2 linked regions of the Schizosaccharomyces pombe genome follow. Changing the gene in region 1 together with any one later gene gives a genetic interaction. Each region holds a gene or a part of one and is shown on either strand. Other genes may lie near its edges.

Evidence for each region. Genes that interact genetically often act in the same process or in processes that back each other up.
Region 2: of tdp1 (region 1) and top1, a mutation in one rescues a mutant of the other (synthetic rescue), as found in Schizosaccharomyces pombe (4 studies listed by BioGRID, with this or other methods).

The regions. Positions count from the first base shown.
Region 1 is NC_003421.2:527,438-532,103, forward strand, and holds tdp1 (tyrosyl-DNA phosphodiesterase Tdp1), read left to right. Parts: upstream 1-1,625; 5' UTR 1,626-1,735; coding exon 1,736-3,346; 3' UTR 3,347-4,059; downstream 4,060-4,666. Other genes in the region: protein psg2, read left to right, coding at 165-228, 314-655, 753-1,210.
Region 2 is NC_003423.3:2,941,069-2,946,170, forward strand, and holds top1 (DNA topoisomerase I), read right to left. Parts: upstream 3,529-5,102; 5' UTR 3,513-3,528; coding exon 3,500-3,512; exon of another isoform or gene 3,447-3,499; coding exon 3,346-3,446; exon of another isoform or gene 3,300-3,345; coding exon 969-3,299; 3' UTR 666-968; downstream 1-665. Other genes in the region: HOPS/CORVET complex subunit, vacuolar sorting protein Vps33, read right to left, coding at 4,098-4,867, 4,919-5,102. UniProt on the Schizosaccharomyces pombe protein: Releases the supercoiling and torsional tension of DNA introduced during the DNA replication and transcription by transiently cleaving and rejoining one strand of the DNA duplex.

The DNA.
Region 1 (4,666 bases):
ATGTTATATAAGCTTAAACAATAATTTTTCAAGAAAGGAATACTGTTTGGCTGCATAATTGGTCTTTATCCTCGTATATTACCGCTTTTGTCATTTTTCTATATTCGGGTTGTTATCACTGTCTGAACCCTACTAAAGTTTTTCATTCATACATTTAAATTACAATGAAAGTTATTTGTGGATCAGTGTTTCTGTTTTCACTTTTCTTTCAAGTAGTTTTAGGAGATTGTATGTTCTAATGAGTTTTTTGCTTTGTTTGCTAACCAGATTTTCTTTTTTTTTTTCATTCACTAAGCATAACACTAACCTATAGATTTTTCCTCGTCTTCCGGTAATCCTAACTTGAGGACTACGAAAGTGTATACTGTAGTCAGTGGAACTCACCTGGCTACGGCTGAAAGCACTGTTAGTAAAACAATCACCACGACAAAAGGTTTACCGACTAATGCTTATTACAACTGTGTTCCTTCTAAATATATCCAGTCGGATATACCCATGTGTGCACCTAACCAAGGGGATCGTTGGGTAAAAGGTCGCAAGTATAAAGTGTCATGGGATCCTCTGTACTTTGGAGTTGATAATCTTCTTATGGTAGTTTCCTATTTAAACGATAGCGGGTTGATTGCCGCTACCAAGAAGGTTCAAAATTCAAAAGGTTCGTTTGTAGAGGAGCGGGAATTCAGCATTACTTCTTGCGGATAGATTTTCTGCTTCTAAAAGCGTTCACTTAATTGTTGCTAACTATTTTTCAGGAGAAATAATGTTAAAGGCTAACAAAGGTTGGCTTCATGATGATAGTTTCCAGAATGTCACCATCGATTTGGTTACTATTAGTGAAAACAATATGACGCTGCTTACCGGACCAAGAATCTTACTTGCCAAGGATTTAGATAGTGCCACCGCTGCCGCTGAGAATGCAGCTTTCTATGGTCCAAGGAGAAATATCAAGGCAGCCATCGCCGTCCCGTCTGTAATTTTGGGGCTTATTCTCGTTGCTCTCGTATACTACGCTTATAGGAAGGACACTTGGAAAATTTATATGGCAAAGATCAGAATCCGTAGATCCGCTCCTGGATATGGTGTGCGACGCAGCAGGCGCCAACGTATGCAAAGCCGTCCTGTTGCCTATACTAGTCTTCCAGCCGATGCACACTTTGAGGACTCGGATGATGAGGATTATTACCAATCACAAGTAAAAAAATTCCATTAAATCTGTGCATAGAGAAGTTCTTCATTGTTAGTAGCAAGAAGTTTTTGTTTTTCGTGAAGAAAGCTAGATTAATCGTCATTTAATTTCACTCTGTTTTTAATCATCAACCTTTTCATCATTTCGTTTATGGAAAAATCACATGTTTGTTTCATCTTATAGGGTTTCCACCTTGTTAAAATTGAACAAGCAATTAAAATACAAGTTTATAGTTGTACTAAAAAGGAAACTGTTGTAGAATATCTGTAAACAAGTTTCAAGAAATTGAACGGTGTTTCGCCCTTGTAGAAAATAAACCAGCATCATTTAAGATTCGCATAACTCAAATGACTTTTAAGTCATATTAATTGACGTTTTCTTAATATTTCTTTGCGAAATTTGAAATCAAGTATTCTGTCTGATGCACCTACAACGAGCCAATTGCTTACATATGGCCAAATATCTTATTCCCAAATAATATACCTATATTTACAAAAAGAAAAAACCATATATTTTATAGTAAATGGTATGATTGAAAGATAATCGAAAATGTCTACTCTTGAGCCCGAAAAGCGTAGACAACATGAAGATAAATCGAATGAAATAATTGACTCTCCTATTTTCTTAAATAAAATTTCTGCATTACCGGAAAGCGAAAACGTTCATTGTCTTCTTTTAAAACAGCTCATTGGAAGCCCTCAATTAAAGCAGACTTGGCAATTTAATTTCTGTGTCGACCTTAATTTTTTGTTGGAAAACATGCATGCTAGTGTCTTCCCTACTGTCGATGTCCGTATTACTCATGGATATGACTCCAAGTCTGATAGTTTAGCAAGACTAACTGCCCAGATGAACCATTGCCCTGTTAATGTCAAACTGTACAGTGTTTACGTTCCAATGTGGGGCACGCACCATTCTAAGATTATGGTGAATTTTTTCAAAGATGATTCATGCCAAATTGTAATACACACAGCCAATTTAGTTGAACCAGATTGGATTGGCATGTCTCAAGCCATCTTCAAAACCCCTCTACTATATCCTAAAGCGAACGATTCCCTTTCAACTTCTAGTGTTCCTGAATACGGTAATCCATCCAAGATAAGGAAGCATGAGGGAAGCCTTGACATCAAAGATGATCGAAACTGTGATATTATTGATGTAGATTCCGCTTTTGAGAATTTTAAACATAAGTCCGATACAAGGAGTAGCGATGATTTGGGTGTAATCGGTCGACAATTTCAACAAGATTTCTTGGCCTATTTGAAGAATTATAGGCACACATATGAGCTTATTGAGAAACTGAAAATGTATGACTTTTCAGCAATCAGAGCAATATTTATTGGATCAGTACCTGGAAAATTCGAAGGCGAGGAAGAAAGCTCTTGGGGATTAGGAAAGTTAAAAAAGATTCTAAAGATGTTGGAAAAAGATTCAAAGAAGGACGAGAAAACTAAATTCGAAGAGTCTGACATTTGTATTTCTCAGTGTAGTTCCATGGGTTCATTTGGACCCAAACAGGAGTACATTGCCGAATTAACGGATGGTTTTGGTTGCCAACGAGGGAATTGGAAATTTTTATTTCCAACAGTGAAAGAAGTTCAGCAATCTATGTTAGGTTGGCAATCTGGTTCCTCTATTCATTTCAACATCTTGGGGAAAACAGCTGCAAGCCAAGTGGAAACTTTAAAAAAAGGTAAGAATTTATGCAAATGGGTGGCCATGAAAGCTGGTAGACAAAGAGTTGCACCACATATTAAAACGTACATGCGATTTTCGAATGATGGAGAACTACTACGTTGGGTGCTTGTTACTAGTGCTAATTTGAGTAAACCCGCTTGGGGAACTTTAGAAGGTCACAAGGCAAAATCAAGATCAACAAGAGGACTCAGGATTCGGTCCTATGAAGCCGGTGTATTGTTATATCCCAAATTATTTGAAGAAAGTCAACGCGCTCCTTGCATTATGACTCCTACTTATAAGACGAATACTCCCAATCTGGATGAGAAAAGGAGAGAGTTTTATGGAAAAAGAGTAATTGGTGTACGAATGTGTTGGGATTTCCCACCTGTTGAGTATGAAGACAAGGATGAGATATGGTCGCCTGTGATAAATAGAACGGATAAGGACTGGTTGGGTTATGTTTGGCCTCCCAATTGGTAAATCATAAGGACGTTTATGATAAAAATACTTCATAGGCTTTACAAAACATGGACAATTCGATTAAATTGAAGTATCTATACATTGAAGTTGACATCACAGACTAGACAGCAGAGCTTTCAACAGAAAATGTTGAGCCTTTTTTTTTACAATACTCTAATTGTTTAAGGGTAATTTACTTCTTTATTTTGGATAGGTTTTTATGTCACTGAAAATGTTTGATAGCCCCAAGTCTTTGGAAACAGTCAGTAGGATGTTCAAGAAAACGGAGGTTCCGACTTTACAGATTTTAATACGTGAAATTAATTTTTTTTGTTTAATTTCTCTTTTCTCTGGCAAAATTGTAAGCACAAGATAAGGGACTATTCAGTTGGACTCTCAGCTCATTTGTTTACATTCAGAAGATATATAACGCATCAGTGTCGCTGTTTTATGTCTCGCAAATATCAAGTTAAGATAGCACGTCCAACCACGCTACATATTAAACGATGTATTGCAAATGCATTATACTGAAAGAAATAATAGGAAACGAAAACAGTAGTCCGATCATCCATTGATTATGAAAAAACAGCTTATTTAAAATGCATTGTACTTTATTAGTTAAAGACTAAGGAACATGAATTTTTGGCAGTTTAATAACTAGTAGTATATCCATCATATCGATTACGCGGTAGCTAATGAAATTTTTTTTAGATTCTTTAATTATAGGAAAATATAACAGGTACATTTTTTCCTATCCTATTACGAGCATAGAACAAAAGAAGAAGATAATGTTTTTAAACGTTTTATTTACATTTCTACAATTGAGTTTCGGTAGTTTTCAAGCATGTGCAAATAACGAGCTGCATAATTATGCTTTTGCAAGGTACGATACAATATACCTGAAAGTTGTTTGTTTACATAGCAGTGTTTCCTTTTTACCTTTACTTTCCACCAAGACCTATGAATAGAAAATTGTTAAGTTTTGGTTCATATAGAAGATCCGTAAAATGTTTGAAATAATTTAATTATAAAATACTTTATTCTTGTGCTGAAAACATGAAGAAAGGAAGGCTAGTACGCGACTCAAGCCTGTTTTCTCATTGTTTTGTTATTGGAGGATTAATTTGTTTTCCTTAAGAAAAGTTGTTTATCAAATTTCTCTTTTCTTTAAAAGATTGACGAATTATTCCAATCAATTGTTTGTTAAGCGGGTTGCATATTCCTCAAGTTGCTAAAAGCTTTACGTCTTTGGAATGTTTGTTGTACAGTTTTCCTCTAAAGAAATGTCTTTTCCCGCTCATTAGGATAAAATTCTGCATCAATGATTTTGTTTGGTTGTTT
Region 2 (5,102 bases), on another chromosome or scaffold:
AAAAAAAACTTATCGTGAGTTCAAAGAACAAACCTTCGAGTTTGCGTTATAAACAGTTCTAAAAAATAAAAGAAAAAGAAATCTCCAACTAAGGCTATCTCCTATTGAGAAACTGCTAAAAATGAATATTTAGGAATCCGGTTGAGTAAATGTAGGTACTCGTAGAAGGTAGGATCCAAATGCTAGTGTGTTCATACTTTGTTTTACGTAATTTAATCTTTACCAACCCGATTGTATCCGCTCGTGGTTGCATTGGATTGCTCCAGCAAATAGTGAGACAAAATCTCTTCCACTGATATTTCTGCTATACCGGAACTTGTGCCAATCTGACAAAGAGAACGAAAAAGTGGAAACCGGGTTTAAAGATGCGAAAAAGGCAGTCAAATGTAAACGCTAGAGAAAAAAGTAATTTGGATGGTATAGAAGTGCTTGAAAAACTATTTAGTACAACCAAAGAAGAGTAATTGGTATAAAGATTAAAAAAGCAGCAGCTTGGCTTTTCTTTCCTTTTCTATTTGTAAAAAAAAAAAAACAAAAAAAAAATTGTTTACAAGAGTAAGTTTGCTTGTATATTGAATTTGATGATCGTAACAGGCATTTCACCAATATTAAAGAAAAAGACCTCAAGAGTAAACAGTAATTATGAAAAAAAAAGCCAAATGCAATGGGGATAGTATGAAATGTCACGTTCAATTTGTTTTGTGCTAAATTTTATTCTGTCTATATTTTTGCTGAAAAAACTTCCTTAGCTTTGCATTTTTTGTATGAATTTTTATTAAACACTAAACTAGAAGTAATTAATTCCTTCTTTCAGCACACTAAGTTGTTGTACGCTAGCATTCATTTCAAGACATCATTAAGTCACGAAATTACGAAGCACTTTCACAATTTGTCTGCCGTAGGATGATAATAAATAATTTTTTTTTAAAAAGTTCAATGAAAGATACTTTTCTTAAATCGTAGAGGACTTACCACTTCCAATCCGGAGGTGTATCAGCAGCCCAATTGAACTTGTCACGAATCGTCTTACTAAACAGCTTCTCAATAGGAACGTCTTCTCGCTTGCTGAACGAATAAGTAAGCCTCGGGTCTATGTAGTTAATCTTACTTGTACCCAAAGCAGTAGTTTTATTCTCGTCTTTATCGATCATCTGAGTACGCATAACATTAATTCGTTCATTGAGTTTGTTTAATCTTTTCTCAAGTTGTTCCATCGAAGAACGACCTGGATCGACTTTTTTGCTTTTAAGTTCAGCGTCCAGCGCTTTCTTCAACTCATCAGCCGCTTTCAATCGAACTTCCAATTCAGATTCCGGAAGCACTGATTTGGGATCCTCAGCAGCTAATTTTTCGTTCTCACGATCGAATTTCTTTTTTATTTTCTCTTTTTCTAGTTCGTAAAGTGTCTCGTGATGTTTTACGATCCATGAATCGGTAATGCCTTCTTCTTTAGCCAGCAATTCGGGCTTGCTTTTAGCAAGCTTGGGCTCTAAATTCAGCATCATTTTTCGCAGTCTCATCCGCTGGTATTGTAATGCCTTAATCCTTTCGGCAAACCGTTCCATTTGAACATCGTGATTTTTGGTTACGGAACGTTGATGATTACATAAAATTGCAACAGTCCTATTTGCCCTATTATAAAATAGTATTTTGTCTGCAAGGGTGAGGTTCTTAGGCATTTTCTTAAGTTCCTCGGCCATGGTGTATGAAGCATTGTAGGTACGAAATACTTTAGCTGAAAGTCCATCCATAAGGCTAGTCAGATATTTGTTAAGACTGTTTGTACTGAGACGGTCGAAAATTAAATCACCCTCTTTTTTGGGAGGACGTTTAAAGATCTTTAGATTTTTAAAAACTTGGGGATCAACTTCAACCTCGTTGTAGTAACGAATAGAATCTTTACCAAGAAAATCGAAAACGACTGTTCGTGGTGGCTTCAGTGTAACATGTTCATATCGCAGTGAACAACAACCAACAGTATCCGCCTCGTCTTCACCCTTTTCATTTCCTGCTCTTAAAGCAAAAACATCAATTAAATACATGGCAGTTCCTCTTTGACGCTCAACCGTTAACTCACTTTTCAAATCTTTCCGGTAGCCTTTACGGATATCATCAATATAATCCTTAAGCTTTCTTGACTTTTCGTATTTTTTTAAGTCACTCTGTCCTTTTAGAGAACTTCCTGCAGCTAAAAAGACATATTTGACATTATTATTTATATTTTCATGCCAGGTTGCCAACCAGGTCACTGTATTATCATGCTTTACCTCCGCCCATTGATGCCCAGGGAGTGGTTCTGGAACGGGTACACCTTCACCAATATTAATGGTAATTTGTTCAGGATATACTCGACGCTTTAAAGAACCAGTTTTAGGATGACTACCTCGACCACGAAATAACCCTGGAGGTTCAATACGAAAGTTACCAACCTTCTCCTTTCTCCCATCAAGTATGCACCATTTATATTTTTCCTCTTCCTCATCTTTTTTCTGCTTTATTGCCTTCTTCTGTTCCTTCGGCATACTCTTCTTCTCTTCCCTCTTTTGCTCAAAATGGTGAAACATTTGGGTAAAATCACATTTAGAAAACTCTTTAATGTTGTGATTAAAGTTACATTCATCACAGACCTTTAAGAAGTCACGGAAAAAATTATCTTGGAATACAGGATTTTTGGCATGATCGGTTTCAAGCATTGCAGCATAAAAACCAGCAACTTCTTCTGCTTCGGGAGGAAGATTTACGGGGTTTCCATCGTAAATTAGCTTGACGTTCTTTGGTAAAGGTTCATAGGGTGGAGCAAAAATTACACCATTATGCTCCAATGTAGTCCATTTTTGAGTATCATCGATATTTTCTGAAGTCCACCACTTGTAATCCTCATCTTCATCTTCCTCATCGTTTGGTGAGCGATTTTGCGTGGTCGAAGCTCCCGAAGGCAGTTCTGATTTGTAAGGAGTTAAAGATACAGTCGAAACAGCTCTCAATGGAACTGAATCATCTGTGTCACTTTCCTCTTTTTTAACAGCTGACTTCGCGCCATTTTTACTTCCATTCGCTTTAGAAACACGTTTATGCTTCGGTGAGGGCTTTGCAATTTCATTGAAATCCTCTTCCTCTTTTACAACCGCCGTTTTTTTTCCGTTTTTTAAACCACCATTTCCCATTACTTTAGCTCTTTTTTTAGAGCTTGAATTGGACATATTTTTCTTTGAAGAAGCACGTCTCTTTCTAATCGGTATATCATCCTCATCACTCTCGGATTTGGATTTCTTATTCAACGATTCACTAAGAGGATGATTCTAAACAATTAGTCAACAATCTTTAATTATTATGTTGTGAACATACTTCAGAACTATCACTCTCTTCGTCCGACTCCTTCATACTAATCCGTTTAGATGAACCGCGTCTTTGCCTCCTTCTAATGGATAAAGACACGGAATCTGAATCTTTTCAGTTGTTAAAAATTTTGCAAATGTTGTTAAATTACGTGAAACCTTACCAGACGAAGACATTGTGAATTGTTTGCATACATCTATAATACAGTAAAAGAAGGATTAATATTGAGTACGTACACTCGTTGTCATGACAACCAAATATTGACAATTAATGTTTGTAAAAATTAGTAGCTAAATGAGAAACTGGAATTTTCAAATAAAATAAAATTTAATGTTACGAAGCTTGCAGCAAAAAGCTATAAATGTGCATATTTCAAAATAAACCCATTAACAGTACGAGAAAAGTAATCTCTAATAATTTTGAAAGCTTTAACTTTACATTTATTGTAAACAATACCAAAAGCCACTGAATATCCAAAACAAAAAAAAGGTGATTTGATTGATACAATAAGCCATTAGCTGCCAAATATTGGAGGTTTATTATTTAATATGTAAGCTAATATTTTGGCAGTAAATAGCAAATAGCTTAACAGCATATAGGGAAAGCTTTAATGCCACTTCAAATTCATAAACTACTAAGGACTTAATAAAGTGGGTTAATAAAAAAAACAATAATTAAAATTATGGGATTCTCTTAGTGAAAAAAAATGAGATTAAATATCGTCTTTAGCTGTTGAACAAATTAATGAAACTGGGTGATCATCACTCATTCAAAGATTCAATATTTGGAATAAAAGCTCTTATTAGAGAGCTTCCAGTTACCATTCCCGTAGTCATAAATGTGAATTCATATAAATCTTCTTTTTCTTGCAATAAACGAAATGCAGCCAGCTCTGTGTACGTGCAACCACCGATGAAAAAAACTAAAACACGACGTTTACCTGGTACGTTTGTCTTCAAATTTTTAGGCATGACCTTTTCCTGGTCTAATGTCCACTTGTCAACGTAAGTTCCAGGCATATTTTGCAACTTAAGAATTTTTTCTTCATTGTCTCTGCCTTTTAAAATGTCATATGCTATGTGGACTGACAAAGGACCGTACCCGCTGTACGTATAGGCTATATCTTCAGGATTCTGCTCATCAACTTCGTCCTTAACCAAAGGATAAGTGTTTAACCATGTAGAATAAGACAATGATTTTTGAAGTGAAATATTAGTGGATTGCCGGAGGCGCAATAGTCCTGCATCTATCAAGGCTTGGAATGTTAAAAGGTGATAATAACCATATGTTTGAGTGATTTCCCTACGGTAATGATCTATATCTTTTCTTCTCAAACCATTGGTAGTTATACTTGCAAGGCAAAGTACTCGAAAAACCTCTTCAACAGGTGCTTCGGCATAGATAATTTCATCTAATAAATTGAATTGAGTAAAAGAATCGGCATGAGAAACTAGCAAATGCTGAAGTTGTAGTAGCTTTTGAAAGTAATTATTTTTTGTGTGTTGCACCAAAGTTTCAGCGAGACCAGTGTCTATCTAATTAATAAAATTTTTTATGGAAATCAAAAGAAAAAAATACTTACGAATATTTAATGATGTATGCTCCGATTGTAAGGAACCCAGTTTGGAAACGAAGTCTCTAATCTGATTTACAGTTTTGGCTTGACGTCGACCTTCAAAATCGCTGGATAGTTTTCGAGCAATTTTGCTTAAATAAGGGCCTATGCAATTAAAATTTATGTCTCTAATTTCCTTGGTAATTTGGCT